Linked DNA regions of Xenopus tropicalis. The protein of the gene in region 2 purifies or fractionates together with the protein of the main gene of each other region. This does not show direct contact. Links are inferred from orthologs where the notes say so. Each region holds a gene or a part of one and is shown on either strand. Other genes may lie near its edges.

Region 1 (16,465 bases), about 95 Mb from region 2:
CAGACCCCAATAATAAATGATTACTTCCCCTTTATTCTGTAATTATCAGTCTGTGCGGCTCTCACTCCAGGATTTGTGTAATACCGGCTCCCCCTAGTGGCCAGACTGCTGCAGTGCACTGAGTGCTGGTCAGATTGCAAGCTCTTCAGCTAAAGGCCTAGTTGCCGCACAGGAGCTGACAATCTAATGGCCGATATCGCACTCACCCAGACTGAAGACGGCGATCTCCCCGGCGGAAGAGTTGTGCGGCCCCACGAACACCCCGGAGACCAGCAGGAGGGAGTCGTCGGAGTTAAACTGGGAGAACTGGGTGTAGCTCCAGTGATGCGGCTTCATGTCGGCGCTGTGTCGGACCGAGATGGGCGGGGCGCTGGCCCAAACCTGCGGAACCAACGGGGATTCATCAGCCAATCAGAAAGTGCGAGTAAATAACCCCCAACTGCCTTATTAAATTACATATTTTATCAGGGTACAGAAGGGGCATGGCCGAGGGGCCAATCAGAATCACTGGGGGGCAGGCTTGGCCCATACGGGCTCCTGGGGGACTCCCCCCCCCCTTACCTTAATGGTACAGTCCTTGGAGCAGGAAGCAAACAGGTCCCCTGAGTGGGAGAAGCTGATGTGCAGCACTTGGTCCCCGTGTTCCCGTAACCTCTGCGCCTCCACCCGCGGCACCGCGTCACACACCCGCTGGAACTCCTCGTACCAGGACTCCGCCCCTACACACAGGAAAGGGAGGAGCCATTACACACTGCACACAGCAGCCCCATTGGGTACCATGGGAAAGAGAGCAGCCCAGGAGCAGGAAGTACAGAGAATCAGAGCTCTGTACCTGGGTAAGTACTGGGGGGAGATTGGATTCACTTACCCAGGGGGAGGTTCCTGTCTGACCATGGGAAAGAGAGCAGCCCAGGAGCAGGAAGTACAGAGAATCAGAGCTCTGTACCTGGGTAAGTACTGGGGGGAGATTGGATTCACTTACCCAGGGGGAGGTTCCTGTCTGACCATGGGAAAGAGAGCAGCCCAGGAGCAGGAAGTACAGAGAATCAGAGCTCTGTACCTGGGTAAGTACTGGGGGGAGATTGGATTCACTTACCCAGGGGGAGGTTCCTGCCTGACCATGGGAAAGAGAGCAGCCCAGGAGCAGGAAGTACAGAGAATCAGAGCTCTGTACCTGGGTAAGTACTGGGGGGAGATTGGATTCACTTACCGGGGGGGGGGGGGTCTTGGACCATGGGAAAGAGAGCAGCCCAGGAGCAGGAAGTACAGAGAATCAGAGCTCTGTACCTGGTAAGTACTGGGGGGAGATTGGATTCACTTACCCAGGGGAGGTTCCTGCCTGACCATGGGAAAGAGAGCAGCCCAGGAGCAGGAAGTACAGAGAATCAGAGCTCTGTACCTGGGTAAGTACATGGGGGGAGATTGGATTCACTTACCCAGTGGGGGGTTCCTGCTGCTGACCATAGGAAAGAGAGCAGCCCAGGAGCAGGAAGTACAGAGAATCAGAGCTCTGTACCTGGTTAAGTACTGGGGGAGATTGGATTCACTTACCCAGGGGGGGTTTCCTGCCTGACCATAGGAAAGAGAGCAGCCCAGGAGCAGGAAGTACAGAGAATCAGAGCTCTGTTACCTGGTTAAGTACTGGGGGGAGATTGGATTCACTTACCCAGGGGGGTTCCTGCCTGACCATGGGAAAGAGAGCAGCCCAGGAGCAGGAAGTACAGAGAATCAGAGCTCTGTACCTGGTAAGTACTGGGGGGAGATTGGATTCACTTACCCAGGGGGGTTCCTGTGCTGTAACCATAGGAAAGAGACGCAGCCCAGGAGCAGGAAGTACAGAGAATCAGAGCTCTGTACCTGGCGTAAGTACTGGGGGGAGATTGGATTCACTTACCCAGGGGGGGTTCCTGCCTGACCATGGGAAAGAGAGCAGCCCAGGAGCAGAAGTACAGAGAATCAGAGCTCTGTACCTGGTAAGTACTGGGGGGAGATTGGATTCACTTACCCAGGGGGAGGTCCGCCTGACTCATGGGAAAGAAGAGCCAGTCCCAGGAAGCAAGGAAGTACAGAGGATATCAGAGCTCTGTACTGCCGGTAGTACCTGGGGGAGAACTTGGATTCACGTTACCCAGGGGGATGTTCCTGTCTGACCATGGAAAGAAGCAGCCCTAGGACAGCAGGAAGTACAGAGACAGTCAGAGCTCCTGTATGTTCCGCCCTGAGGTATAGTACTGGGGGTGGGATAGGATTCACTTACCCAGGGGACGTCGTCCTGTCCAGCTGACCTAGGGGGAGCAGCCCAGGAGCAGGAAGACAGAAATCAGAGCGTCTTGTACTGGGTAGTCAATAGGGAGGAAGATGATTTCAACCTTACCCAGGGGGGGCGGTTCCTGCCTGGACCATGGGAAAGTGGAGAGCAGCCAGGAGCAGAAGTTACCAGAGAATCAGAGCTCTGTACCTCGGGTAAGTCTGGGGGAGATTGGATTCACTTACCCGGGGGGGTTCCTGCCTGACCTATGGCGAATGAGAGCAGTGAACCCAGCGACGCAGGCAGACGTTACTACGGAACAGAATCAACAGCTCTCGTCACCTAGAGCCTTATATGACTGGGAGATTGGACTTCACCGTTACACCAGCGGCGGCACCGGTTCCTGCGCTGACCATGCGGAAGAAGAAGAGCAGCCAGGAGCAGGAAGTACAGAGGAATCAGAGCTCGTGTACCTGGTAAGTCACTATGGCTGGATTGGATTCACTTACCCCAGGGGGGGAGGTTCCTGTCTGACCATGGAAGATGAGCAGCCAGGAGCAGAAGTACAGAGAATCAGAGCTCTGTACGGGTAATACTAGGGGATTGGAATTCACTTACCCAGGTGGGGGAGCGCTTCCAAGTCTGTACCATGGGAAGAGAAGCAGCCCAGAGCGAGGAAGTACAGAGAATCAGAGCTCTGTACCTGGGGTAAAGTACTAGGGCGGGTTTGGACTATATCACTTACCCAGGGGGGGACCGCGGTTCCTGTCTGCCACTGGAAGAGAGCAGCCAGGAGCAGGAAGTTACGGGAGAATCAGAGCTCTGTACCTGGCGTTAAGCTACTGGGGGGAGATATTCGGATTCACTTACCCAGGGGAGGTTCCTGCCTGACCAGGGGAACGAGAGCAGCCCAGGAGCAGGAAGTACAGAGAAATCAGAGCTCTTGTACCTGGGGTAAGTACTGGGGGGAGATTGGATTCACTTTACCCAGGGGGAGGTCCATGCCTGACCATGGAAAGATGAAAGCAGACCCAGGAGCAGAGATAGTTACAAGAGAATCAGAGCTCTGTACCTGGCTAAGTACGATGGGTTGAGATTGGTCATTCACCTACCCAGGGGGGGGTTCCTGTCTGACCATGGAAGAGAAGCAGCCCGAGGAGCAGGGAAAGAGTACAGAGCAATCAGAGCTCTGTAACTCTGGTAGTACTGGGAGGGGGGGATTGGATTCACTTACCCACGGGGGAGGTTCCCTGCCTGACCATGGGAAAAGAGCAGAGCCCCAGGAGCAGGAAGTACAGAGAATCAGACGCTCTTGTACTGGGTAAGTACTGGGGGTTGGGATTGGATTCACTACCAGGGGAGGTTCCTGCCTGGGACCATGGGAAAGAGGAGCGCGCCCAGCAGCAGGAAGTACAGAGAATCAGAGTTCTCCTACCTGGTAAGACTGGGGGCGGAGATTGGATCTCTTACAGGAGGAGGATGAGCAGCCCAGTCGGCAGGAAGAAGGGCACTGACCTTGTGGATCCGGAGGATGTCGCGATGCACCCGGAAGTGTCGGTAGAAAAGCTCCTTCCACAGGAAATCATCTCGGGAGACTCTGTACCAGCGCCGACAGACCAGTCCGGCTGAGGAGATCGGAAGGCAACGGCCTCTGAAGATCTGGTACAGAATGCTGTCTGGTAAGCTGGGAAGGTCCAATCGCTCGCATTGTGTTCATTTCTGTTACCCCCTGGCGGCCCCTGCCCAACGGAGGTACATGGTCATGGGGGGGGGTCACTTACATCATGTTCATGTATAAGCACTGGGAGAACACGATGAAAGGGGTAGTACAGGGAACTGCCTCCCAGTAAGGGGCTGGTGGGGACTATTACAGAGAGGCGTAAGATACAGGAACGGTACCCTCCCAGTAGGGGCGGTGGGACTGATAACAGAGAGGGGGGTAGATACAGGGAAGGGCCTCCCACGTAGGGCGTTGGGACTGATACAGAGAGGGGGATAGATAAAGGGGAAGCGGTCCAAGAGGGGCGGTTGGGACTGATACAGAGAGGGTGGTAGATACAGGGAAGGGCCTCCAGTAGGCCGGCGGTGGGACTGATACAGAGAGGGGGGTAGATGACAGGAACGGGCCTCCAGTAGGGCAGGTGGGACTGATACAGAGAGGGGGGTAGATACAGGGAACGGCTCCCTAGGTGGTGGGAACTGATAACAGAGAGGGGGAACAGATACAGGAACGGCCTCCCAGTAGGGGCAGGTGGGATGATACAGAGAGGGGGGGTAGAGACAGGAACGGCCTCCCAGTAGCGGCGACTGATTACAGAGCGGGGGTAGATACAGGAACGCCTCCCAGTAGGGGCGGTGGACTGATACAGAGAGGGGTTTAGATACAGGAAGGGCCTCCCAGTAGGGGCGGTGGGGACTGATACAGAGAGGGGGGTAGATACAGGAAGGGCCTTCCAGTGGGGCGGTGGGACTATACAGAGAGGGGCAGATACAGGGAAGGGGCCTCCCTAGTAGGGGCGGTGGGACTGATACAGAGGGGGGGTAGATACAGGAACGGCCTCCCAGTTAGGGGCGTGTGGACTGATACAGAGAGGGGGACAGATACAGGGAATGGCCCCCCAGTAGGGCGTGGATCTGATAACAGAGAGGGGGAGATACATGGAACGGCCTCCCAGTAGGGTTGGTAGGGCCGACTGATACAGACGGAGGGGGATAGATACAGGGAACGGCCCCCAGTAGGGGCAGTGGGCTGATACAGAGGGGGGTAGATACATGGAACGGCCTCCCAGTAGGGGCGGTGGGACTGATACAGAAGGGGGGTACGGATACAGGGAACGGCCCCCCAGTAGGGTTGGTAGGGCTGATACAGAGGAGGGGGTAGATACAGGGAACGGCCTCCCAGTAGGGGCGGTGGGACTGATACAGAGAGGGGGTAGATACAGGGAAGGGCCTCCCAGTAGGGGCGGTGGGACTGATACAGAAAGGGGGGACAGATACAGGGAACGGACCCCCCCAGTAGGGGCGGTGGGACTGATACAGAGAGGGACAGATACAGGGAACGGCCTCCCAGTAGGGGCGGTGGGACTGATACAGAGAGCGGGGGGTAGATACAGGGACACGGCCTCCCAGTAGGGGCGGTGGACTGATACAGAGAGGGGGGTGGATACAGGAACGGCCTCCCAGTAGGCGATGGGACTGATACAGAGAGGTCGCAGATACAGGGAACGGCCCTCCCAGTAGGGGCGGTGGGACTGATACAGAGAGGGGGTAGATACAGGGAAGGGCCCTCCCAGTAGGGTTGTAGGGCTGATACAGAGAGGGGGGTAGATACAGGGAACGGCCTCCCAGTAGGGGCGTGTGGGACTGATACAGAGAGGGGGGGTAGATACAGGGAACGGCCTCCCAGTAGGGGGCGGTGACTGATACAGAGAGGGGGTAGATTACAGGGAACGGCTCCAGTAGGGGCTGGTGGGACTGATACAGAGAGGGGACAGATACAGGGAACGGCCTCCAGTAGGGGCGGTGGGACTGATACAGAGAGGGGGTAGATACAGGAACAGCCTCCCAGTAGGGCGGTGGGACTGATACAGAGAGGGGAGATACAGGGAACGGCCTCCCAGTAGGGTTGGTGGGACTGATACAGAGAGGGGGGTAGATACAGGGAACGGCCTCCAGTAGGGTTGGTGGACTGATACAGAGAGGGGACAGATACAGGGAACGGCCTCCCAGTAGGGGCGGTGGGACTGATACAGAGAGGGGGGGAAGAACAGGAAAGGCCTCCCAGTAGGGGTGGGGGGACTGATACAGAGAGGGGGGTAGATACAGGGGAAGGGCCTCCCAGTAGGGTTGGTAGGGCTGATACAGAGAGGGGGGTAGATACAGGAGGAACGGCCCCCAGTAGGGGCGGTGGGACTGATACAGAGAGGGGGGTAGATACAGGGAATGGCTCCCCAGTAGGGCGGTGGGACTGATACAGAGAGGGGGTTAGATACAGGAACGGCCTCCAGTAGGCGGCGAGGGACTGATACAGAGAGGGGGTAGATACAGGGAAGGCCTCCCAGTAGGGGCGGTGGACTGATACAGAGAGGGGGCTAGATACAGGGAACGGCCCCCCAGTAGGGGCGGTGGGACTGATACAGAGAGGGGGGTAGATACTGGGAAAGGGCCTCCCAGTAGGGGCGGTGGACTGATACAGAGAGGGGGGTAGATACAGGGAACGGCCTCCCAGTAGGGGCGGTGGGACTGATACAGAGAGGGGTGGTAGATACAGGGAACGGGCTCCCAGTATGGGCGGTAGAGGACCTCGATACAGAGAGCTGGGGTTAGATACAGGGAACGGCCTCCCAGTAGGGGCGTTATGGGACTGATACAGAGAGGGGGTAGATACAGGGAACGGCGCCTCCCAGTAGGCGGTGGGACTGATACAGAGAGGGGGGTAGATACAGGAACGGCCTCCCAGTAGGGTGGTGCGGACTGATACAGAGAGGGGGGAGATACAGGGAACAGAGTTAGGTGGTGGACGATACCCAGAGAGGGGACAGATACAGGGAACGGGCCTCCCAGTAGGGTTGGTGGTGGACTGATACAGAGAGGGGGACAGATACAGGGAACGGCCTCCCAGTAGGGGCGGTGGACTGATACAGAGAGGGGGGTAGATACAGGGAACGGCTCCTCCAGTAGGGTGGTGGGACTGATACAGACGAGGGGTAGATACAGGGAACGTCCCCCCCAGTAGGTTGGTGGGACTCGATACAGAGAGGGGGGTAGATACAGGGAACGGCTCCCCAGTAGGGGCGGTGGGACTGATACAGAGAGGGGAACAGATACAGGGAAACGCGACCTCCCAGTAGGGGGTGGGACTGACTACAGAGAGGGTAGATACAGGGAACGGCCTCCCAGTAGGGCGGTCTGGGGACTGAATACAGAGAGGGGGGTAGATACAGGGAAACAGCCCCCCAGCGCCGGCGGGTATGGACTGATACAGAGAGGGGGGTAGATACAGGGAACGGGCCTCCCAGTAGGGCGGTGGACTGATACAGAGACGGGGGACAGATACAGGAACGGCGCTCCCAGTAGGGGCCGGTGGGACTGATACAGAAGGGGTAAGATACAGGGAAACGTGCCTCCCCAGTAGGGCGGTGAGGACTGATACAGATGAGGGGGTAGATACAGGGAACGGCTCCCAGTAGGGTTGGTGGGACTGATACAGAGAGGGGGGTAGATACAGGGGAACGGCCTCCCAGTAGGGTTGGTGGGACTTGATACAGAGCAGCGGGGGGGTAGAACATGGAAGGTCCTCCCAGTAGGGTTGGTGGGCTGATACAGAGAGGGGGTAGATACAGGGAACGGCCTCCAGTAGGGCGGTGGGACTGATACAGAGCAGGGGGGTAGATACAGGGAAGGCCCTCCCAGTAGGAGTTGGTGGATCCTATACAGAGAGGGGGGAGATACAGGGAACGGCCCCCCACGTAGGTGTGACTGATACAGAGGAGGGGTCAGATACAGGAACGGGCCCCCAGTTAGGGGCGTGGGACTGATACACGAGGGGGGGGTAGAACAGGGAACGCGCCTCCCAGTAGGGGCGGTGGGACTGATACAGAGAGGGGGTAGATACAGGGAACGGCCTCCCAGTGGCGGGTGGGACTGATACAGCAGCAGGGGTAAGATTACCAGGAACGGGCCTCCCAGTAGGGTTGGTGGGACTCGCATAAACGAGGAGGGGGTAGATACAGGGAACGGCCTCCCAGTAGGGTTGGTGGACTGATACAGAGAGGGGGTAGATACAGGGAACGGCCTCCCAGTAGGGGCGGTGGGGACTGATACGAGAGGGGGGTAGATACAGGAACGGCCTCCCAGTAGGTGGTTGGGGAGATCTGATACAAGAGGGGGGTAGATACAGGGAACGGCCTCCCAGAGGTTGTGGGACTGATACCAGCAGAGGGGGGATAGATACAGGGACGGCCTCCCAGTAGGCGGCGTGGGACTGATACAGAAGAGGGGGTAGAACAGGGAACGGCCCCCCAGTAGGGCGGTGGGACTTGATACAGAGCAGGGGGGATTACCCCTCCAGTAGGGGCGGTCGGACTGATACAGAGAGGGGATACAGGAACGGCCTCCCAGTTAGGGTTGGTTGGGAACTTGATACACAGAGAGGGGGTAGATACAGGGAAGGCCCTCCCTAGTAGGGTTGGTGCGGACTGCATACAGAGAGGGGGGTAGATACAGGAACGGCCCCCAGTAGGTGGGTGGGACTGACTTACAGAGAGGGGGTGAGATATCAGGAACGGCCATCCCCAGAAGGCGCGGGGGACTGAAAGGGTATCAGGGAACGGGCCAGAGGGGGGTGGATGATACAAGGGGGGATACGGAACGGCCTCCCCAGTAGGGGCGGTGGGAGCTGATACAGAGAGGGGGTAGAGTACAGGGAACGGACCCCCCGTAGGGGCGATGGGACTGATACAGAGAGGGGGTAGATACAGGGAACGCCCTCCCAGTAGGCGGCCGGTGGGGGACTGATTACAGAGAGGGGACAGATACACGGGACGGCCCTCCCTAGTTAGGGGCGCGGGGGACTGATACAGAGGGGGGGTAGATACAGGTAACGCCTCCCAGTAGGGGCGGCTGGGACTGATACAGAGAGGGGGTAGATACAGGGGAACGCCTCCCAGTAGGGCGATGGGACTGATACAGAGAGGGGTACAATACAGGAACGGCCTCCCAGTAGGGTTGGTGGGACTGATACAGAGAGGGGGGGTAGATACAGGGAACGGCCTCCCAGTAGGGTTGGTGGGACTGATACAGAGAGGGGACAGATACAGGGAACGGCCTCCCAGTAGGGGGCGGTGGGACTGATACAGAGAGGGGGGTAGATACAGGGAACGGCCCTCCCAGTAGGGGCGGTGGGACTGATACAGAGAGGGGGGTAGATACAGGGAAGGGCCTCCCAGTAGGGCGATGGGACTGATACAGAGAAGGGGGGTAGATACAGGGAACGGCCTCCCAGTAGGGTTGGTGGGACTGATACAGAGAGGGGGGGTAGATACAGGAACGGCCTCCCAGTAGGGGCGGTGGGACTGATACAGAGAGGGGGTAGATACAGGGAACGGCCTCCCAGTAGGGGCGGTGGGACTGATACAGAGAGGGGACAGATACAGGGAACGGCCTCCCAGTAGGGTTGGTGGGACTGATACAGAGAGGGGGTAGATACAGGAACGGCCTCCAGTAGGGTGGTGGGACTGATACAGAGAGGGGACAGATACAGGGGGGGACAGATACAGGACGGCCCTCCCAGTAGGGCGGTGGGACTGATACAAGAGGGGGGTAGATACAGGGAACGGCCCTCCCAGTAGGGCGGTGGGACTGATTACAGAGAGGGGGGTAGATACAGGGAACGGCCTCCCAGTAGGGGCGGTGGGGCTGATACAGAGAGGGGTAGATACAGGGAACGGCCTCCCAGTAGGGGCGGTGGGACTGATACAGAGAGGGGGGTAGATACAGGGAACGGCCTCCCAGTAGGGGCGGTGGGAACTGATACAGAGAGGGGGGTAAGATACAGGGAACGGCCTCCCAGTAGGGGCTGGGGACTTGATACAGAGAGGGGGGTAGATACAGGGAACGGCCTCCCAGTAGGGGCGGTGGGACTGATACAGAGAGGGGGGTAGATACAGGGAACGGCCTCCCAGTAGGGGCGGTGGGACTGATACAGAGAGGGGGGTAGATACAGGGAAGGGCCTCCCAGCAGAGGGCGGAGCTAATGAAGGAATACGCAGCTCAGACAGATATATTTAGACAGACAGTTCCCATGATGCCCCGCTGATTACTAGTTGCTCCCGGCTGGGCGCTGCGCCTATGGGTGCCGGTATAGGGACACACCGAGTATTACTCAGCGGACTGAGTGCGGGGGACACTCCGGCTCCGGTAGCAGCTGAGGGCAGAACTCACCTTCACTTCCGCATCTTCCCAGCCCGGCTATCCCGGCCCTCCCGCAGCTCTATGATCTCAATGTCGCTCTGCCCCTTGCTTCTTAAGCCTCTATGGTGCGGGGACCTCCTGGATCGGTTCTCTGTGTTTCTCTCTGTCCCAGGGAGTTGGGGGGCATTGGGGCCTGTTGGGGGGGCACAGAACTGCAAACTGCCCCCAGCTCAACATCAATTCTTCCCCAAATAATATAATGGGAGACCCTGTCCCAAGGGGCTTACACTCTAGTGGTATAATGGGAGGCCCTGTCCCAAGGAGCTTACACTCTAGTGGTATAATGTGAGACCATGTCCCATGGAGCTTACACTCTAGTGGTATAATGGGAGGCCCTGTCCCAAGGGGCTTACACTCTAGTGGTATAATGGGAGGCCCTGTCCCAAGGGGCTTACACTCTAGTGGTATAATGGGAGGCCCTGCCCCAAGGAGCTTACACTCTAGTGGTATAATGGGAAACCCTGCCCCAAGGAGCTTGCACTCTAGTGGTATAATGGGAGGCCCTGTCCCAAGGAGCTTACACTCTAGTGGTATAATGGGAGGCCCTGCCCCAAGGAGCTTACACTCTAGTGGTATAATGGGAGGCCCTGTCCCAAGGAGCTTACACTCTAGTGGTATAATGGGAGGCCTTGTCCCAAGGAGCTTACACTCTAGTGGTATAATGGGAGGCCCTGTCCCAAGGAGCTTACACTCTAGTGGTATAATGGGAGGCCCTGCCCCAAGGAGCTTACACTCTAGTGGTATAATGGGAGACCCTGCCCCAAGGAGCTTACACTCTAGTGGTATAATGGGAGGCCCTGCCCCAAGGAGCTTACACTCTAGTGGTATAATGGGAGGCCCTGCCCCAAGGAGCTTACACTCTAGTGGTATAATGGGAGGCCCTTGAGAACCTGAAGGGGGGGCACGAGGGCCCAAATAATATTCCCTCGGACCAACATTTAATAAATGGTAATTCCTCCAAATTCCATGGCAACCATGAAAGGGGAAGTACAAAGGTTACAGGGGGGCGAAGTTAGAAAAAAACTGGTTTAATTGCCCTTTATAACGAGCAACTAATGAGAGCGGTTTGGCTTCAGTAGGAAAATGAGCCCCTTCTGTAGTTTTACCCCCCCCCCCCCCATCTGGGTGCCACAGGGTTCCCATTGTTTGCAAATAGGGTGCCCAGGGCTACGGGCTGGGGTGGGGTTGTTTATCTTGGCCCTCAGAGTTACATTGTTTGCTAATAGGGTGCCCAGGGCTGGGGGTCGGGGGGGGGGGTGTTGTTTATCTTTTCCCTCAGAGTTACTATTGTTTGCAAATGCCCATTGTATTCATTAGTAGGATTGGAGCAGGGGATGCTGGGAATTGTAGTCTCACAGTGGGGGTGTATTTACAGTACAGAGGGGGATATCTGGGGGCACCGGCACTGAGCAAACAACCCCAGTCACTTCCAGTTACAGAGATTTCCCAACCTCCCAGCAGCCAGTGCGGCGGGGTCTGGGCTCCGACTGTCAGTCTCCTCTGGGACACACTGCGAGCAGAACCCTCCTCAGCATGGGGCATCTACTGGGGCAACTAGGGGCAACACTGGCCTCTCTACTGCTGCTCCTCTCTGCCCCTACTGCCCTGGGGCAAAGGCAGAAGAAACCACCTCCCCCCAGTCCCATAGACAATATCCAGGCTGTGGGCAACTTTGATCCAAACCGGGTAAGTACACCCAGAGTATTATTGGGGTGGGGGGTAATATAAAGGGGCGTCTGGTAGTGTAATGGGGGGGGGGAGAAGGATCTTACTAGCGCCTTCTATGTTGTACTATCTAATGGGAAACACTATGGCACCTCCTACCCATATGTATAAATACAAATATACAGAGAGGGAATGTTCTGGGCACACAATAAGCTGTACCCCCATACTGTACTGTCTAAGGGAAACACTATGGCACCCCCTACCCATATGTATAAATACAAATATACAGAGAAGGAATGTTCTGGGCACACAATAAGCTGTACCCCCATACTGTACTGTCTAAGGGAAACACTATGGCACCTCCCTCCCATATGTATAAATACAAATATACAGAGAGGGAATGTTCTGGGCACACAATAAGCTGTACCCCCATACTGTACTGTCTAAGGGAAACACTATGGCACCTCCTACCCATATGTATAAATACAAATATACAGAGAAGGAATGTTCTGGGCACACAATAAGCTGTACCCCCATACTGTACTGTCTAAGGGAAACACTATGGCACCTCCTACCCATATGTATAAATACAAATATACAGAGAAGGAATGTTCTGGGCACACAATAAGCTGTACCCCCATACTGTACTGTCTAAGGGAAACACTATGGCACCCCCTACCCATATGTATAAATACAAATATACAGAGAGGGAATGTTCTGGGCACACAATAAGCTGTACCCCCATACTGTACTGTCTAAGGGAAACACTATGGCACCCCCTACCCATATGTATAAATACAAATATACAGAGAAGGAATGTTCTGGGCACACAATAAGCTGTACCCCCATACTGTACTGTCTAAGGGAAACACTATGGCACCTCCTACCCATATGTATAAATACAAATATACAGAGAGGGAATGCTCTGGGCACACAATAATCCCTCAATGGCTCAGTTTGCAGGGAAGTGGTTTCTCCTGTCCGTGGCTTCTGAATGTAATTACCTGAAGCTGAACAATCACCGGGTTGAGGCCACCATTGCCCAAGTGACCGCCTCCAAGAAGCCCAAAGTGGGGGACACACTGACTGTGAGCACCTTCCGAAAACTGTAAGTGAATTGTGGGGGAGGAGCCAGGGAGAAACCTGTATTTAGAATCAATAGGGGGCGCCGTTTTGAAACCTGTTCATAAGTTGGTTTTTAGAAAGACGGAGCTGTTGACTGAAACTGGGCGCATATAGCGGGGGCCTATCAGAATGCAGATAGATTTGGATGTAACCAATCAGGATGGAATTAGATACTTTATATTCCCTAAATATTTCACTTGCTCTTTTCTCAGGGACGGAATCTGCTGGGAGATTAAACAGGAATATAGGGAGAACAAGCAGAAAGGGCGGTTCCTCTTACTGGGTAAGTGAATCCAATCTCCCCCAGTACTTACCCAGGTACAGAGCTCTGATTCTCTGTACTTCCTGCTCCTGGGCTGCTCTCTTTCCCATGGTCAGGCAGGAACCTCCCCCTGGGTAAGTGAATCCAATCTCCCCCCAGTACTTACCCAGGTACAGAGCTCTGATTCTCTGTACTTCCTGCTCCTGGGCTGCTCTCTTTCCATGGTCAGGCAGGAACCCCCCCCTGGGTAAGTGAATCCAATCTCCCCCAGTACTTACCCAGGTACAGAGCTCTGATTCTCTGTACTTCCTGCTCCTGGCTGCTCTCTTTCCCATGTCAGACAGGAACCCCCCCCCCATGGGTAAGTGAATCCAATCTCCCCCCAGTACTTACCCAGGTACAGAGCTCTGATTCTCTGTACTTCCTGCTCCTGGGCTGCTCTCTTTCCCATGGTCAGACAGGAACCCCCCCCCCATGGGTAAGTGAATCCAATCTCCCCCCCAGTACTTACCCAGGTACAGAGCTCTGATTCTCTGTACTTCCTGCTCCTGGGCTGCTCTCTTTCCCATGGTCAGACAGGAACCTCCCCCTGGGTAAGTGAATCCAATCTCCCCCAGTACTTACCCAGGTACAGAGCTCTGATTCTCTGTACTTCCTGCTCCTGGGCTGCTCTCTTTCCCATGGTCAGGCAGGAACCCCCCCTGGGTAAGTGAATCCAATCTCCCCCCAGTACTTACCCAGGTACAGAGCTCTGATTCTCTGTTCTTTCTGCTCCTGGGCTGCTCTCTTTCCCATGGTCAGGCAGGAACCCCCCCCTGGGTAAGTGAATCCAATCTCCCCCCAGTACTTACCCAGGTACAGAGCTCTGATTCTCTGTACTTCCTGCTCCTGGGCTGCTCTCTTTCCCATGGTCAGGCAGGAACCTCCCCCTGGGTAAGTGAATCCAATCTCCCCCAGTACTTACCCAGGTACAGAGCTCTGATTCTCTGTACTTCCTGCTCCTGGGCTGCTCTCCTTCCCATGGTCACTCAGTACCGGTTGTGTTCATACCCACAGGGCGGGGCTCCAAGGGGCCAATCGATATGGTTGTGGGGGACACGGATTACGAGAGCTACGCGATACTGTTCTATCAGAGACAGAGGAAGCTGAGTATGAAGCTGTACGGTGAGTATGGGGGGCAGATACACTCGTGGGGGGGGCAGTAGGCATTTAGTCAGGGTATATTGGTGCTTGTGGGCTGATTCCCACCCACCTCCTTTCTTTACGTCTCAGGGCGGAAGACGCAGTTGAACAACAACATTTTCACCAGGTTTGAGGCGCTGGCGGGTAAGCAGGAGCTGGGCCTGGAGTCCCTGTACCCCTTCCCTGCATACGGTGAGTAAGCCACAAAGCGCTGATGTCCTGCTGCAAACGGGGCAGTGACCGTGAGTCTGATTGACAGCTCCGTGGCCCAATGTACAAGCCCAGTGCTGCCGGTTCTGATTCTGCTCCCCTATTTCTCTCCATTCAGGTTTCTGTGAGTCGGCCGATCAGTTCCACATCCTCGATGGTAAGATTCACCCCGTTGCTATGTGACAACTGCCCGGCTCCCCCACATTATCAGGGTCTCCTTCCTGTACTTACCCTTTCCCTTTCCTGTTACAGAGGCTCCCAAGTGACCCGTTACCTGTGGGAAAATACTCAGCCTGGAGGGGACTTCCTGCCCTGCGGCACCGACTGGCACCCACACCGACTGGCACCCACACCGACTGGCACCCACATATGGAACCACCATGTATCCCCTGTATCCAATAAAATATCCTCTGTCCCCAGAACATTCCTTCTCTGTATATTTGAATTTATACATATGGGTAGGGGGTGCCATAGTGTTTCCCTTAGACAGTACAGTATGGGGGTACAGCTTACTGTGTGCCCAGAACATTCCCTCTCTGTATATTTGTATTTATACATATGGGTAGGGGGTGCCATAGTGTTTCCCTTAGACAGTACAGTATGGGGGTACAGCTTATTGTGTGCCCAGAACATTCCTTCTCTGTATATTTGTATTTATACATATGGGTAGGGGGGTGCCATAGTGTTTCCCTTAGACAGTACAGTATGGGGGTACAGCTTACTGTGTGCCCAGAACATTCCCTCTCTGTATATTTGTATTTATACATATGGGTAGGGGGTGCCATAGTGTTTCCCTTAGACAGTACAGTATGGGGGTACAGCTTACTGTGTGCCCAGAACATTCCCTCTCTGTATATTTGTATTTATACATATGGGTAGGGGGTGCCATAGTGTTTCCCTTAGACAGTACAGTATGGGGGTACAGCTTATTGTGTGCCCAGAACATTCCCTCTCTGTATATTTGTATTTATACATATGGGTAGGGGGTGCCATAGTGTTTCCCTTAGACAGTACAGTATGGGGGTACAGCTTATTGTGTGCCCAGAACATCCCTCTCTGTATATTTGTATTTATACATATGGGTAGGGGGTGCCATAGTGTTTCCCTTAGACAGTACAGTATGGGGGTACAGCTTATTGTGTGCCCAGAACATTCCCTCTCTGTATATTTGTATTTATACATATGGGTAGGGGGTGCCATAGTGTTTCCCTTAGACAGTACAGTATGGGGATACAGCTTATTGTGTGCCCAGAACATTCCTTCTCTGTATATTTGTATTTATACATATGGGTAGGGGGTGCCATAGTGTTTCCCTTAGACAGTACAGTATGGGGGGTACAGCTTATTGTGTGCCCAGAACATTCCCTCTCTGTATATTTGTATTTATACATATGGGTAGGGGGTGCCATAGTGTTTCCCTTAGACAGTACAGTATGGGGGTACAGCTTATTGTGTGCCCAGAACATTCCTTCTCTGTATATTTGTATTTATACATATGGGTAGGGGGTGCCATAGTGTTTCCCTTAGACAGTACAGTATGGGGGTACAGCTTATTGTGTGCCCAGAACATTCCCTCTCTGTATATTTGTATTATACATATGGGTAGGGGGTGCCATAGTGTTTCCCTTAGACAGTACAGTATGGGGGTACAGCTTATTGTGTGCCCAGAACATTCCTTCTCTGTATATTTGTATTTATACATATGGGTAGGGGGTGCCATAGTGTTTCCCTCAGACAGTACAGTATGGGGGTACAGCTTATTGTGTGCCCAGAACATTCCCTCTCTGTATATTTGTATTTAT
Region 2 (16,452 bases):
GTGCAGTCCCAGGCATATTCCCATTCTAACCATTGCAGGTTAAAACAAAATCAGTGCAATACACACAATGGTGAATTAATTCTCAAGAGCCATCTAGTATGATGGGGGGGATCTCCAAAAACATACTGTTTCATTTACACTACATATTTAGAAAGATTAAATGACATGAAGGTAGAAAGCATTAGGGATGAAAGTACTCATTATTAATTCCACTGTGACTCCTAACGAAGGGGGTTGTGTTGTTCATCCAGGGAGGAGGGTTTCTGATTAAGTATCTCCTGTGTGTGCACCCGTTATTATTACTATGTAACAACCAATTAGAGAAACTCTTTTTTTCCTCCATGATCTTAGTGTTTTTTGGTCTCCTTTAACAAAATCCCACTTTTAAACTCTGCCATGTTCTAAATGGATGTTCTGTTGCTGAAGAACAGCCGCTGGCTCCTCTGCCATTACTTCTGGTCCTGTGTATGTTTTGCAAGCGGTAGTGGGTTGGCTATACTACAGTTCCACTTGGAGAATTGGCTTGGTTTTGGGATGATAATAAACCCTGTGAACAAAGCAGCTTTTATTAATCCAGAACAATAAACCTCATAACGGTGCTCCAAAGAAAACACTGTATAACATCGAGATAGGAAATCCTATGCTGAAGGAGGATTCATTTCATTATCATATCAATATAAGTAGGCATTCTGCAACTGAGAACAAACCCACACCCTACCCATCACCCTGTTCCACGGGTACATCCACTGAGCATAGCAAGAGGTATAGCTGCCTTTAGGTATCCATTCACAGCCCCCTCCCCCCACACTATTTCTAAACTACAACTCCCACAATCCCAATGACAACTGTAGTTTAGCAACAGTTAAATAGAGAGGCTGCAGTGCTGTTTGCCATAAGCTGGGGCCGGGCCATCATTGATTAGGTTAAAGGAAGTCCTTGTAAATGCAAGGGGCAAGTCAAAGGAAGGCCATGGGCAAGCTGCTGTATTAGCGGATAATCAAGTGCCCACTTGTGGGCAGGGCACAGTTCTAGGTGGCATATCATATTTAAATGGACAGTTAAAATAAAGAAAGTAAATGTCTGGTTGCAATGAGTGTATGGCCTTGGTCAGGTTATGCCCAATCACTTTGTCACTACACCAGTAAGGTGCACCCTTGATTATTATAGGACAAGGCCTTACCTTAAGCAAACAAAATGGCAGCACCACTATGCTATAAATATTATATTATATATAGATGCTTACGCACAGTGAAGCAAAATTCCTTGCATGAAATGACATCTTGTGTCATTATGGTCTTTTTCATTACACTGCTCTTTAAGTAGCTGCCATAGATCAAATTGAAAGCCCTCTATTATAGCTGTGGTTACACTGTTGTGGCAAATGCACAAAAGCTCTGTAACACAGTGTGGGAAACTCTTATATTCTAATTGCATCACTGTGGTAAAATCAAAACAAGCCACCCAGTAAGGGCATTTGCTTTGTCCATAATATAACTAACAATTTTAATGCAACACCTCGTGTGAATTAAAGGGATAGTATACACCACTTTTTATGCACAAGCTCAATAAACAGGGCATGTGCTGAACATACTTTTAGTCTATTGTTTTTATTTAAAAAATATCTAAGTTTCTGTTTTTTCCAGCACTAGAAATTAATATGAAGCCATGTTAGCACTTCCAGTCCAAAGAACTTCAAAAGAGCTGATAAAACTAATTACCAGTCCACTGAAAAGCCCCTGATAATGAGCCGCTTAAAGGCTGCTTAGAGAAGGGAGGGGTTGGTTTGTTTGTTTAGAGGGGGAGCTCTGAATAAAATGGCCAGCAAGTGTTTAAATTAGTGCTTTATAATGGCAAAACAAGGAAACTAGTTTTTTTTTTGTTTTGTTTTTCAGCAAAGGTGTTTTGGGTGTATCCTTTCAAATCACTAACTTTTCTTGCAGTGCCCTAGCCAGCAATTTATACTGCCTTCGGTCTATGGCATACAAGTCTAATCCTGTGTGCCCACATTTATACTGTATGCATTGTAACAGAATTGAATGTGATCCTCCTGTCAATAAGAACACAGGGTGGGATTCAGCCAGAATAAACTTTTTCATTTTGTGGCTAAAATGCACCCTGGGCGAGTATTAACAATAGATCCCATTCATTGATCTTACTATGCATGCAAGAGAAAACACAGTAGGACTAGGTGCTGCTGTTATCTTACCTGCATTAAGCAGGGATCCTTTGCACCCAACTCGTATTCCGCAGGCATGGATGAGTCAAATTGGAAATTACACTGAGCACACGCAAGTCAAGTTAGGCACAAGGATACCCTGGGAAGATGCCAGTTCTTCGACAGAAAGAATCTCAGCCCAAGGCAGGGCCGCTGCTGCCATGAGGAGAGTTAAGAAACTTGTCTTGGGCAGCAGGTGCCTTGAAGTTACCAGGGGTGGCTAAAGAGCCAAAAATTCAGTTTTACGTCGTAACTTCTGTTGCAGAGAGTGCTATTCATTCCCTGCATTAGCAACGTGCCTGCCCCTGGCCACCTACAATGCAAAAAGCCTAGGAGCAGAGGGGCGGCATTTCCTACGCCACCCAGGGTAGCACTAGGGGCCAAAATATTCCTGGCCCAAGGAAAAGGATTTTATTCCCTGGCGGGTGCCTATAAAACTGGTATCACTCCCAGTAATAGGCTTTCCTTGTGCTTTAATATTGCAAACACAATGCAGAAAGTAGAAATACAATGGCTAAAATGATCTTTATAAAGACAAAGACCATTAAAGACCTTGCCAGGCGGTGGGCAGATCGGGCTGAACACATGGAAAGCCTGTGTAGACGCCTTGGGTGAGCAACATTTCCAGCACAATCACTATCTGACTAAGCCTCAAAATCATGTGGGGATCATATTGGCCACAAAGTAGGGCAAATGCGCATACAAGCCCACTTAGTCCATAAACAGGATTTTCAGTTTATGGCCATCTTTACAGCCTGTTTGCTACTCTGGCTTTACTCTTTCAAAATATATATGTTAGTGTGTGGTTATGCATGAGGCGTAGCCCGTTAAATACTACTGTTCTTCCCAAGAACCATCAATATTATTATAAAAGGCCTCTTTGGGGAAAAATAAACATGCAATCATACAGGTTTTGTAACTCGTTTTAAGAGCAAGGGAATATTTCTGTGTTAGACTGCTGTCCTACATTTCATGTGAGAGGATTTGCCTTTATAAGGATATTTTAGGTCAGCACACTATAATTATCTATATAGTACAGTGGTTTAAGCTGCCACCAATAAAAAAAGAACTGAGTGGGATACATCCCGAAAAAGCTTGAGTGTTTGATACATACGATGCATCAGTAAGAGATAGAAATATTACTTCCGATCTTCTATGTGCAAGTATGATTAAGATTTAAATTAATGCTGAATATACAAACCCAACCTTTATAGTATTATTGCCTGTTTACTGTGCATCAGTCTTATTTCATGGCATGTTTACCAGATATTGGTTGGGTGGCTGTCTGATTGCCCCCATACATGAGCCAATAAGTGGAAAAGTTAGAAACGAACACTGGCCTGTGTATGGCTATAGGTAAGCTAAGACAGTTTCAACCAAGTTTGTTACATCATTACAGTACACAAACACTAGCCAAGGCCAAAATAGGGAACTAAAGACCAACACTAAAAAGGCTACACCTTGTGTTTTGATCAAATCTACCAACCACCACAGCCCTTTAGCAGTATAGATCCGTGAGTATGAATTAAGCCGGCCATACACGCACCAATGATATCGTATGACACCTCATTTCGTGCAATATTTGGTGCGTGTATGGTAGATCGACAAGACAACCGATATCACAAAGGCTGCGGATATCAATCGTCTCACTGATCGGTGCCCATTGAAGGCACCCAAACAAAATCTGCGTTCAAGGCTGAATCGGGAGGTGGAGGTAGAATTCCTATTATTTCAACCTCCATATCAGACGATTCAGCCCTGAACGTCAGTGGGGGAAAACAAAGATCTTTCTTGCGACTGTCGGTCACAGGAAAGATCAAAATTGCTACGTGTATGGCCACCTTAAGCCCCCAATAGCACCCAAATTTCTTTTGCTGATTCCCAGCACATGGTGTTAGTTATCCGAGCTTACACTTTTACAATACAGTGCACCAGAATTGATCAGTAATCAGTCTTGGGGCATCAGCTTATATGATAAATGTAACGTCACCTTCTACAAATGTGCTGAAGATTCTAAAGCACACAGAGTGCAATCGCTCTTAGCTGAGTGTTGCATAAACAGCAGCAGCAATTTGTATAGCAATTGATTTGTTGGTTTCTCAGCTTGAAACAAAAGCTACATGCTAATCACAGAAATGCCATTATACAAAGAGAGAACTTGGGTTAACAGCACCCTAAGGAGGCAACTAGCCAAGTCCTAACTTGACAGAGTGGTATGTTCCACTGAATAGATATAAGGCTTTATAAACATGACAGTTAAAATCCACATTAGCATGCTGGGATCACAAAATATTTTAAGTGAGATCCAACAGATAGTTTATATCTTACTAAGTAGTCTATTAAAGAATCTTACCAAACTGGAATATATATATTAGTCAATAAATATTGGCATCTTATATCTTTTCCCTTGATCCACTACTTTGTGATGGTCCGTGTGCTCCCTCAGAGACAGGAAATAATACAGCTCTAACTGTAACAGGAAGTAGTGTGGGAGTAAAGGACAGAACTCTGTCCATTCATTGGCTGATGTGGCCTAGCATGTATGTGTGCCCTTGGTTTGTCTGTGTGCACCATGAATAGTATAATCTCAGGGGCAGCCCTTAATTTTTAAAATGATAATTTTCAAGATCCCCCAATAGCACATACTACTAATAAAGCTGCAACTTTCCCTTGTGGCAAAGTTCTGCTTCAGGACATGTTACTGTGTTTTGTCTTTTAGCATAAATTAACGTTCAAGTGGACAACTAAGTGAACCCCTATGTTAATATCATTACTTGGGTCTGTACACAATTCCAAGGCTTTATTAAATGAAGGATGGCCCGGGCCAGGTAGAGCAGCTAGTTCTGTGTTGCTGCCTGAATGTTTGCATTATAAGTGCAGCATGTGAAGAAGGGCAGAAGCCTGGGTTAGGGATTGAGGAGATAAATGGGAGGAGTCAGGATGTTCCTCCGCTTGTTTATGTAAGTTACATGTTAGGCAAAAATTGTGCTAGTTTTAACTCTGATTTTTTATTTTACTTAACTCAGTTGCCATTTTTGTTTCAGCTCAAGGAATGGGTTTGTGATTTTTAAAACAAATGCACTGATGTCTCTAAGTCTTGCTCTGAAGGTGCTGCAACGCCCAACTCATCCTGAATGCTGAGAATACATTTATTTAAAATAAATAGCACTTCTACTTATATGAATGCTTAGGGTTACAGAGTGAATTGATTGTTCATCCAGTAGCTGGATGTTAAAAGAATATGGTTTAAGATATTACATTCACTGTTAAATTGAGTTTCAGTAGAAAGGCCTTAGCAACTTTCCTACTGATCTTCATGTTCTATGTTTACTTATTTCACCAATATATCTCTTTAAAGAATAATATTGGAAATACTAACTTCGTGGACCCCAACAACCACAAAAAAAAACAAAATCAAAACAAAAAAAACACTATTTGTGAGGCTACACTTAGTTTTTTTTATTGATACTTTTTATTGCGTATCCTTCTGTATAGGCTCTTGTCATTCCGACTATAGGAACAAAATGTTATATCATTTGAAAAAATATAAAAGACCCCTTGCAAATTGTTTAAGAGCTCCATTTTGAAATAGTTACTGTTGCTTCCATATAACTAGTGAATGGCTGTTGCACAACACTGGGAGATTATAGACCACCAAGCAAAGTCTAGGGGAAAACCAGATATATAGATGGCGTTGAGTTTTTTTCCAAGAAAATTCTGGGAATCAAATAGGTTTAGGACAATAACAGATCCGGGCATTTTGTCACCCACAATTAAATCTGGCTACAGCGGCCAACAAAACATCCCTTGTTCCCTCTCCACCGGCTAACATGCAAAATGCTGCTGGACAAACATGTGGCACAAAACATCCCATTTGTCATTGCCCTTACATCTGTCATAATAGCTGATGATACAGGGCTGATTAGTGATGAATTCTGATGAAGAATACACTGGTTTTTATGCCAAAATGTAATTTAAATATGAACTTACTGCTAATCAAACTTGTGTTGTGAATTTTAATGTTGTGCAAGGAATCAGCAGAAAAGAAGATGGGGGGCTACTGGGGGCATCTTTGGAGGCGCAGATCTTCCCTGCTAAAGGGCTGTGGTTGCCTTGGGCTGGTACAGAAGGTTAAAAATATGGTGTAAAAAGTCTTCATTAATTCTTTGCCGAGCTTTAGCTCTCCTTTAAACTTATTGTCTTTTCTAATTAAGTCAACTAGAAGATAGACAGACATACAACAGGCACTGCACAAAATCCTCTTACATGAATTGTAACATTATCATGTACAAAAGAAAAATATTTGCAATATTAACATACGCAACTGGTGGGTTAATAACTGCTGCTATTCTCACTACCTGCTGCTACAGTATAAAGTCTGCTATACTGGAGTACAAAGAAAATGTTCCCCCTATAAAAAGGCATTATTAAATACATTATTAACACATTGGTGAATAAGGTTACTTGCTTCATATTCTAGAATGACTGCACTTGGCCACAGATGCTGAGGGTACTGTCACACAAGCACTGCACTCCAAAATGTGAGCATATATTAGTCTAAAATATATGTTAAAATGTGTTGTGTTTTTGTGAACAAAAAAAAAAGTGCAAATGAAAAGAAAGCTAATGAAAAAAAACACACTTACCTGCAAATGATTATACAATGAGAAAACTACCTGGGCGCCATTTTTGGTACTGCATACTCATCTCTCAGAAACATTTGAAATTTTATTTTCTTGCTAGAATTATATTTATACATACAAATTAGGACTAATTTGCCAACAGAATAAAAAAAGTCCAAAAATAACTAGAAGAGTAAGCCAAATGTGGTTTTCTGATTTCCTACAAAAGCAGCCCAACTTGACTTGCAATTTACTATTGTTCATTTTGAGTGAACTCACTGGGGAAAAGGAGACCGGCTGACTTGTCTGTGGAAAGATGCTATGTCCTGCAAGACAGGCTAACTTGTCAGTGAGAGACACTCTGTCCTGCTTTATATTTAACCCTAGAACTTATTTAACATCCAGACACTTGCTAAAGGTGTGTTTAATCCATGTCCGTGCCTAGCTGTGATGGTGTAAGTGCAAACAGTTAATATAAATAATAGTTAAAGATGAATGCAAGCTTCTCTGGACATGGTCTTTTAAATCACCTAACATATGAGATTTTAGGCCTTGTTAAAAACATTAAATAAACCTGTGTAGGAGCGGACTTAGATCAGTCCAATCTAATATGATGAATATGGATTTTTTTTCCACTCAAGTGACACAAAAGTAAAGTTAAAAAGCAAACAGAGCCAAAAAGCAGACATGCACAGCTTGGCAGCTTACTGACTTGTCTATAGGGCAATAATAGATAAAGAAAAAGAAAGAAATCAAGGTAACCTTATTTACAAAAAAATACAGCTACTACTGAAACAGTGTTCTATTTGTTTAAAAACTGTATAGTGTAGTAATCAACAGTGCAGATGGGGAAAAAGGGCTTCATTTGTACAGAATCCAGGCAGGACAGAAAATATTCTTCCCTTACTGTTGTAAAGGAAAAATATTCTCTTTCCTACCTGGACACCTACATACTGAGAAATAACACTAACGACATATCTGAACATACAAATACTGTCGTTTGCAACAGATTTGTGTAGCAGTGTGAGCCGCTGCAAAACAAGCAATGTAACCAATAAGATCACACTATATCCAAACAGATGAGTGGGAAATCAGGGTGGTTGATAAAGGTCATTTATGTTTTGCCAATATTCAATGCCCTGATAACCTCTGCTGCCTGTGGCTCCCCTGCATATTCATTTTCCCTATATAAAGGGTGAGTTTATGAGTTTACCAAGGGAGGGAATATAAAGAAACCATGGTCCATTGTAAACATTAAAAAATAAATAAATAAAATTATGGCATTATTGTTAAGACACATTTATAGGCTTTAGCTTCCAAGGAAAGCAGTATTCTTTATATAAAGTAGTGCAGTGTGCCTTTGAGTGAGCGTCAGTTCTGCTAGTTAGTGATATACTTTCTTATGCAACACCATAAAAATTAGGGGAGAATTTGTAAAGAAACGTTCCAAGCTGGCAAATGAGCCTTAAAATGTTTAATAATTCACCAGTAGGGATTTTTTTTTTTTTTTTTAAGATAAAAGCCTGGGACAATGAGCAGCAGTAAGAACATCTAGCTAAACAGCACAGCCCAACAAAATTGACACAACTACAGGCTATGCTACAACCAAATGGCATTAATATGGCTTTGTGTTAGTTTGTTGTTGTGAATTGACCCCTTTCATGAAGAACCATATATATTTTGAGCAATTTGTTATCTTAAAAAGGTGATCAGATTGACATTCCACCAACCGTACAGACCCACCGTCAAAGCAGTCAATGTCTACTAAAAACTTTAGTTCGGTATATCGGTTGTATGTATTGTAAGAAAGAGTTACACATGGAGAATACTAAAGAAATCAAGGTAACCTTTTTATTTACAGAAATACAGATCTTATTAGCTTAATAGAATAAATTTATGTCCATGTTTAGACCTTCTCTAGAATGATTCAATATGGATACAAATACATTAACAAGTGCTTTAATTTCCATGTACGTGAAGGGGCCCACAACCCGTTCCATGCTCAGCCCACCTCTTTGCTAATTCTGACATTACAATTCAGTTGGCCGACACCAAATTTACCTGCACATTTTTCCATTTTTTTGTGGGAAAGCGCATATTTAATATTTTACAGTGTACAGTGCTTCTGGTAAAGGAATTCTCTCTTTGGTTGGCACAATACTCTTTGTAATTACATGTACTTATTTTTTTACTCCCCCAAGTACGGTATACTGTGGCAAAATTTCAAATGATTCAAAACAGTATGACATGCAGTAACCAAAATATGTCTCAAAAGGGAAAAAAACAAAACAAGTATTTCTACATTGAATGGAAATAAAAAGTCAGTTTCCCAGAATAATTAGCTACTCAGGTTCTAAATCTTGACGCAGTGTTAAGGATTAAAACTTACCACTTTACCAGGCCTTGCCCATGTGCAAATAAATCCTTCCTGACAAGCAGTGACTATACAGTCTTCAAGAAAAATAAGCACAGTTAGTCTTTCATGTGCTATCTTTTTACAGATAAGAGGCTCTAACAAAGGGACATCTTCCATCCTGGGGCAAAGAGGGGTTCCCAAAGTTTTAGCCGGGTCCGTTTTATTTTTTGTAACTAGGTTCAGTTTATCACTGCTCTTGCTAGATATATGTCCCATACTGTGGTTTCTCTTGTGGTCTTTGTCATGTCTTTCCTTGCGATCATGGAGGGACAGAGTTGCAAACTTGCTGACACCAGATGCTATGGCACTATCCACACTGCTTTTACTGCCTGCGTTAGACACTGCAGAATGAGGAAGGCTGTTGGACCTAGGAAGAGGAGGAGGAATGGAGTTGCCTGGGGTTGTGATACTGTTGCCATTGCTTCCTGGGTTTGGCCCACCACTTCCTGCAGGTGGACTTGTGGCATTCATGACATTTGTGTGTGTTCTTGTCCTTGAAAGTGGCTGATGAGGAAAAAGGATGTCTTCTGTAAGGTCCCATAAACACAGCTGGGTATCTTGGCCTACTGAGCCAAATCTATAGGTTACACTAACAGGACGACTGTCTGTAGAGTTCCTTTTCGATAATCTTGACTGTGTACTGTTTGCTCTATCTCTACCAAAGCTTATCAGTTCCTGAAAATCTTCATCACTCCCACTAAACTCCATTGGGTCTGTCTCTTCTACACTAGTGGTATTAGGGTCAAATGCAACAACACTGACCCAAGATTTGTGTCCCTGACCTCTGGCTATAACTCGGCAGTCCACAAATGACCAAACAGTTACCAAGTCATCCTCTCCACCTGTTACAATATATTTGCCATCAGGACTCCAACACACACACAGCAGTCCACCAAAGTAGCTTTTCATTGTACCATGCAACTCTACCGAGTCAAAGTTAAATACACGAAGAAAGCCATCTTGGCTCACACAGGCTAAGAATTTCCCATCTGGGGAAAAAGCAAATTCATTTAGGGCACCCTCGCCAACAGTCCATTTCAGTAGAGGGTTTCGTGTGGACTTGCTCTTGCATGTGTGGACTGCAAAACTTTCACCTTGCTTAAGTAACTGGTAATGTGGAGCAGTGGTTCCACATGTATGCTCCACATTATACAAATACATATTTCCACTGGAATGGGCTACTAGAAAGAGGCTTTCCGAGCCTGGAACCCATTTTACAGAGGTTACTCTGGACTTGTCTATTAGTCTCTGTTAAAGACAAAATAAAAGATGCAAAAATCAGTGTTAAGAAGAGCTCAGGCAAGATAAGCTACAAGAAAGTACAAACAAGTCAAGATCATGTTTTAAATTGCATTCAGAGGACAATTCATACACCTAACATGTTACATTTTTTATTTTTAGATTTGCCTCTGAATCAAATGAATAGTCCTCAACTGTCCTGCTTTGGTAATGGCTAAATGACCAGTTGTAAGATTATCAGTAGCATAATTCTCAGACAAGATATTTCTCTAAATGTAAGGGTGACAGATTCCCTGGCAACTGTATGTAGGCACTGGAGAGCTTCACATTGCCTCCACTAATGATACTGAGATATCGCTAGAGTAATGGCACACGGGGTAATTCTATGTGCCTCCATTCATGCACCCAATTAATCTAGGAATGAATGGGGGCATTTCCGAGTCACCCATGCACTGAGCAACAAAAAGACCAAATGTTCCTAATGACCCTGTGTGCCACTACACTTAAGCAAAGCATGAATAACTGAATAAAGCGCTAAAATTCAAATAAAATAACCAGTGTTTTTAAATATTTACATTTTAAAACAAGCACACCTTAATTTTGATAGAAATAAACATTATATAAAAAAAAAATAAACAGTTGTTAGGTTGCATTGCCTCAAACTGCATATTTCACCTCTTCAAAATATCTCTCGTATACACTCACCTAAAGGTTTATTAGGAACACCTGTTCAATTTATCATTAATGCAATTATCTAATCAACCAATCACATGGCAGTTGCTTCAATGCATTTAGGGGTGTGGTCCTGGTCAAGACAATCTCCTGAACTCCAAACGGAATGTCAGAATGGGAAAGAAAGGTGATTTAAGCAATTTTGAGCGTGTCATGGTTGTTGGTGCCAAACGGGCCAGTCTGAGTATTTCACAATCTGCTCAGTTTCTGGGATTTTCACGCACAACCATTTCTAGGGTTTACAAAGAATGGTGTGAAAAGGGAAAAACATCCAGTATGCGGCAGTCCTGTGGGCGAAAATGCCTTGTTGATGCTAGAGGTCAGAGAAGGGTATTAGTATGGTGTTCCTAATAATCCTTTAGGTGAGTGTATATTTTCGACTTGAAAGGTGTCAAGTGCCCCCAATAATTGCCCTATCCTGAAAACCATTTGTTATTTTGAATGCTTTATAAGAAAATACCTGTTAAACTCGGCTTCCTGTCATTTGAACAAAGGCGATACGGCATGAAGTCAGGCTAGGCTCGATCAATCGATCGCCGCATAGTTGATGCATCTCCTGATACTTCCCCTGCATCGCCATATCGCCTTTGTTCAAATGACAGGAAGCCAAGTTTTTTTACAGGTATTTTCTACTAAAGCATTCAAAATAATAAATGGTTTTCAGGATAGGGCAATTATTGGGGGAGGGTAGAATAGATTTTTTAGTTAAAAATTTTTAGTGTTACTTTTCCTTTAATCTGTGACAGAGCTCTAAATGATTCCTGACCCACAAGGCCCCTGGATGAACAAGCAGATCATTATGGGGGTGCCAACAGGGGCACAAATATATTCCTCTCACGATTTTCTAAACTTCACAAAAAGATATCCACCAGATTATCGCCCAGATATCAGTCAGGCTGGAAACATGCCCAGGCTACTAATATTTGGGTTGGCCCATGCATGACAAGCAATCATGTTTTGGAATTCCTGACTTCAGTCAGCTCGACTGAAAAAATAATAGCAACAATAGAACTAGAATTCATAAGAAAACACACACAAAACTAAGAAACAAAACTTTTTCTATTGCATTCGAAAGTGTTTTACTTTCCGGCCAATATTTCAGCATAAGCTGCAACCCCCTGATATATATGCAGTTTTTAAACCCACCTCTTCATTAAATAACTTGCTTGTTTCCTTTTTGATTGGGTCTATAAGTTGGACCTGGCCAGCAGAGAACCCCACAAGAAGAGAAACGCTGTCAGCTGTAGCTGTGAGGTGGTTGAAGTCATGACACGTGGGTTGTGTCCCTTTGTATATTCTCTTGTCTATGGGCTTGCTTAGATCCGCTGCCTGTTGGGAAGAGAAGAAAGAACATGAAACAAGAACCGCTTCAATGACCAACAAAGAGATGAAGCAATCACTTAAACTGGATTACAACAGAGTTTACCTAAATGGTTCCCTTTGAAGTTAAAGTCACAATTAAACAACTGCTGTATCTTCTGCTGCCTATTAATTTGATTACAAATTCCTAGCAGAGCCCAAGAGTCTAATGAACCACATACACAAGAATTAACTGAGCTCAGAACTGCTTGTGCATGGGTGCCACCTGGAACAGAACTAGTTATTCTGACCAGACAATCTTTGGCTAATATGGTCAAGATGAGGACTTTGACACATGAACAGAGTACCCAGAGACTGATGAAAATATTCCTGATCGCAGGCTTTGTGATCCACTTGTTCTGCCAAGAAAATTCCCCCAGTACATAATCCTTGTACTTCAGGGTTGCTTAGAGGGCTCAATATCTAATAAAAACAGCAAGGTGAAAAATATGGACATCTATGCCTATGTTTACCTAATAAGATCATATGCCACAGATTTACAGGGTTTGACCTAACACAAAGGCCCTTACAGAGAAGAACAGATGTTTAATCCATTTTGTTAAATGTGGGCTACATTCAGATCTAGCTGCGCTCTTTCCATGCTAAGAGGCAATTCTGTAACATATTGTAATGTGGTTCAGCTTTACTACTGGCAATAATCTAATTAGCTAAGTGGCTATCCATGGGCATTGTGCCTTCGGCATGTAGATTTTATCCCTGTGCGTGCAGCCATATTTTAGAAATTCAGGCAATACTTTTGTTATCTATAGGAGGTATCACAGCATAGACAGATATCTGTGTCAAGTGCAGAAAAGCAGTAAACTAGACATGTTTTCAGCATTCTGGAATGGCTACCTAATTAAAGGGTTAAATAAACTTATTAAAATGTCAACAAAAATATTCTAAGACCAACTACAATTTGTGTTTTTCTTATTTGTAGTTGCCTTTATGCTCTGCTTCACTCTAAACTTACATAGAAAAAGCTGCCAGCAAAGTAATCAGAAAGGAGAGTCATTGTGAGGCTAGTCTAACAAGATAGCAGTTTAAATTCCATATTGGAGAAGCCATAAAAAAGCAAAATTAAAATATTTTATGTTAAAAAAAAGTAAAGGCCAATTGCTACCTGTCTAGAATACGGTTGCCTGCATATTCTACATGACACCTGTCTGCACCTACAGAGCTGCACTAAAAAAGTAGGTCAGAATCAGGGGAGAACAAGGCTATCAGACCAGATACCTTTGGTGACACGTATAACCCAGACAGCCATGCTCAAAAGTCATATTTTCTGTTTAACCATTTTATGGAACCCATCCCAACAAATTTTACCTATGTTGAAGCCAAAGAACAAACAAGTATTATACACTAAGACATTTTGCATTTTCTCCTGCCATGGAAAGCTTAAAAACAATAACATGATAAAAAGCAGATGATTTTACCCTCTTTATTCTATAAATGAACTCCAAACAAATAAGTGCAAGATAAAATGACTTTGCATTTCAATTATTGCAGCTTAAGCTAGTATGCTGAATAGACTGCCAAGGTCACTCTAATAGCACGTGGGTATTGCTATGGAAATCAACCCACAAGGAAAGGAGGGAGGGGGGAAATAAGTTATAACTGGTATAAAGGTAACATTAATAGTTAGTACTCTGCTTCTTTTGTAAATATTTTATTTAAGGACACTAAAGTTCCTATAAGAGAAGAAAACTGCAGAAATCAAAAAGCTTAAGACAAACGGCAACTATAAAAGTGTGTGGAGATTAGAGCTGGGCGGTATGACCAAAAATTTATATCACGGTATTTTTCAAAATTATATATCGGTGTCACGGTATTTGACGGTATTTTTTTTTCCATGCATGATTAGGTGTTAACCCCATTTCCTAATAAATTAGAGAATAATTACTGCAGTATTGAAAATCAGAGTCAGGCAAGCGAAGGATCGGCAACAGAAAGTCGTAAGGTAAATCAGGCAGGCTTAGTTTCCCCAGGCAAGGCCGCAGACAACATAACACAGGAGGAGTTATTGCGGTATCTGAAAAATGAATATAGTTTTTTAAAAAAACACCGGTATTCGGTATTAAACGGTATATCGCCCAGCCCTAGTAGAGATCTTCTGGAGATGATCACAGTGAAAACAATCCTTTGGTTTACAGCACACATGGCATTTTCTTTATGCCATGGGAAAAAGGCTAATCTGCCCCACACACGTGTGAAATAAGAGTTTGCAATATCTGCCCTATGTGTATTCATTGCTGTCCTAACATATATGAGACAGATGCAGAACAGATCAGCCTTTTCTCATCAGTTTTACACCGGCAATGACAAACCTTCCAAGTTTCTATACAAAAAATAAAACTAGGATAAATCAGGCTTTTAACCATAACTGCACTTCAAGTCAATGGTTACTATAATGTTGGCTTTATGATGATCCCATTTCATTTACATATGCAATTTTCCTAACATTTTTTTTTTCTCAAACAAATTGCATATTTTAAAGAGATGACATTCCAAATTTTAGAAGGAATGTGCCACTATGTTTATAAAAACCTACCCTGAGCAGACCACCCATTGCAAAAGTACCTTTCTGCCTCCCGAGCAGAGCTGCTGGGCTTTGGGGAATCATTTTTGCCTCACCCCCAAGCTTGGCATCCAGCTGGCCAGAAACTGGGGGGTACAGGGAAGCAGGGGATCCCCTTTGCAGTGAGCAGTTAGTGCTGAGTAGTAAATTGTACCTGTTAAAAACTAACTGAAATGTATCATTATCCCTTTAACTCTAATGATTTTTCAGAGCCCTAAAGCATTGGAACAAAATCAAATTTACCAGAAAAGGAACAACTACAAAAACATTTTTGCCCAGTGTAATGAAGCATGTCTACCACTGAATATCCGCATATTTGCTGTACTATTCAGTTAAATATTTTTAAGGTAAAAAATGAAAAAATAATATTTTAAATAATGCAGTTTAAGCATGGTTTTATTGTGGAGAAAAAAGCATTTGTTTTCTTTTTAAATCTATTTTAATTTTTCCAGGTCCCTAAACCTCCAAGTTAATGCCTCCAAGTAGTAAATATACAGAATAGGCAAGAGATGAAAATCCACTGAATGGTAATCCGATTGAAATCGGGGGGTAGGGCTATATGCATATTTACATGTGGCAATATACACAAAGAACAATAAAAAAAAAATAATTACACGCATTTACATATAACGTGCTTTTATCCTGCACTGCTAAAAAAATTGTGTTTGCTTCAGAACTCTACTATAGTTTATATAAATAAGCTGCTGTGTAGGGGCAGCCATTCAAATTGAATATAGCAAAAGGCTCATGCACAGAAAAGAGTAGTTTAAGGGCTCTGGCACACGGGGGAGATTAGTCGCCCGCGATAAAACTCCCTGTTCGCGGGCGACTAATCTCCCCGAGTTGCCTACCCCTGCCATCCCACCGGCGAACATGTAAGTCGCCGGCGGGATGGCAGACGCGGCGGGGCGATTTCCGGAAATCGCCGAAAAAAACTCGTGAGTCTTTTTCGGCGATTTGCGCAAAATCGCGCCCTAAGGGCTCTGGCACCCCTAAGGGCTCTGGCACACGGGGGAGATTAGTCGCCCGCAACAAAACTCCCTGTTCGCGGGCGACTAATCTCCCCGAGTTGCCATGACCCGCCATCCCGCCGGCGAACATGTAAGTCGCCGGCGGGATGGCACACGCGGCGGCGCGATTTCCCGAAATCGCCCCGCCGCGTCTGCCATCCCGCCGGCAACTTACATGTTCACCGGTGGGATGGCAGGGGTAGGCAACTCGGGGAGATTAGTGGCACCAGCCTGCACCCAAAGCATTGTGTCCACCCGGGTGCAGGCAGACAACAGCAAAA

The links.
Region 1: the proteins of wdr20 (region 2) and fbxw5 purify together in Homo sapiens (co-immunoprecipitation; 3 studies listed by BioGRID and IntAct, counting the BioPlex papers as one, with this or other methods). This does not show direct contact. The link is inferred for Xenopus tropicalis from reciprocal best matches to the Homo sapiens genes WDR20 and FBXW5.

The regions. Positions count from the first base shown.
Region 1 is NC_030684.2:2,780,625-2,797,089, forward strand, and holds the start of fbxw5 (F-box/WD repeat-containing protein 5), read right to left. Parts: upstream 10,052-16,465; coding exon 10,043-10,051; intron 3,981-10,042; exon of another isoform or gene 3,957-3,980; coding exon of another isoform or gene 3,954-3,956; intron 3,953-3,953; coding exon of another isoform or gene 3,950-3,952; coding exon 3,764-3,949; intron 3,325-3,763; coding exon 3,321-3,324; intron 723-3,320; coding exon of another isoform or gene 720-722; coding exon 562-719; intron 382-561; coding exon 207-381; intron 1-206. Other genes in the region: c8g (complement component C8 gamma chain), read left to right, coding at 10,097-10,284, 11,578-11,905, 12,841-12,992, 13,222-13,292, 14,328-14,435, 14,544-14,645, 14,782-14,820, 14,916-14,929. UniProt on the Homo sapiens protein: Substrate recognition component of both SCF (SKP1-CUL1-F-box protein) and DCX (DDB1-CUL4-X-box) E3 ubiquitin-protein ligase complexes.
Region 2 is NC_030684.2:97,487,559-97,504,010, reverse strand, and holds the end of wdr20 (WD repeat-containing protein 20), read right to left. Parts: intron 12,554-16,452; coding exon 12,371-12,553; intron 10,502-12,370; coding exon 9,209-10,501; 3' UTR 8,675-9,208; downstream 1-8,674. UniProt on the Homo sapiens protein: Regulator of deubiquitinating complexes. Activates deubiquitinating activity of complexes containing USP12. Anchors at the base of the ubiquitin-contacting loop of USP12 and remotely modulates the catalytic center of the enzyme.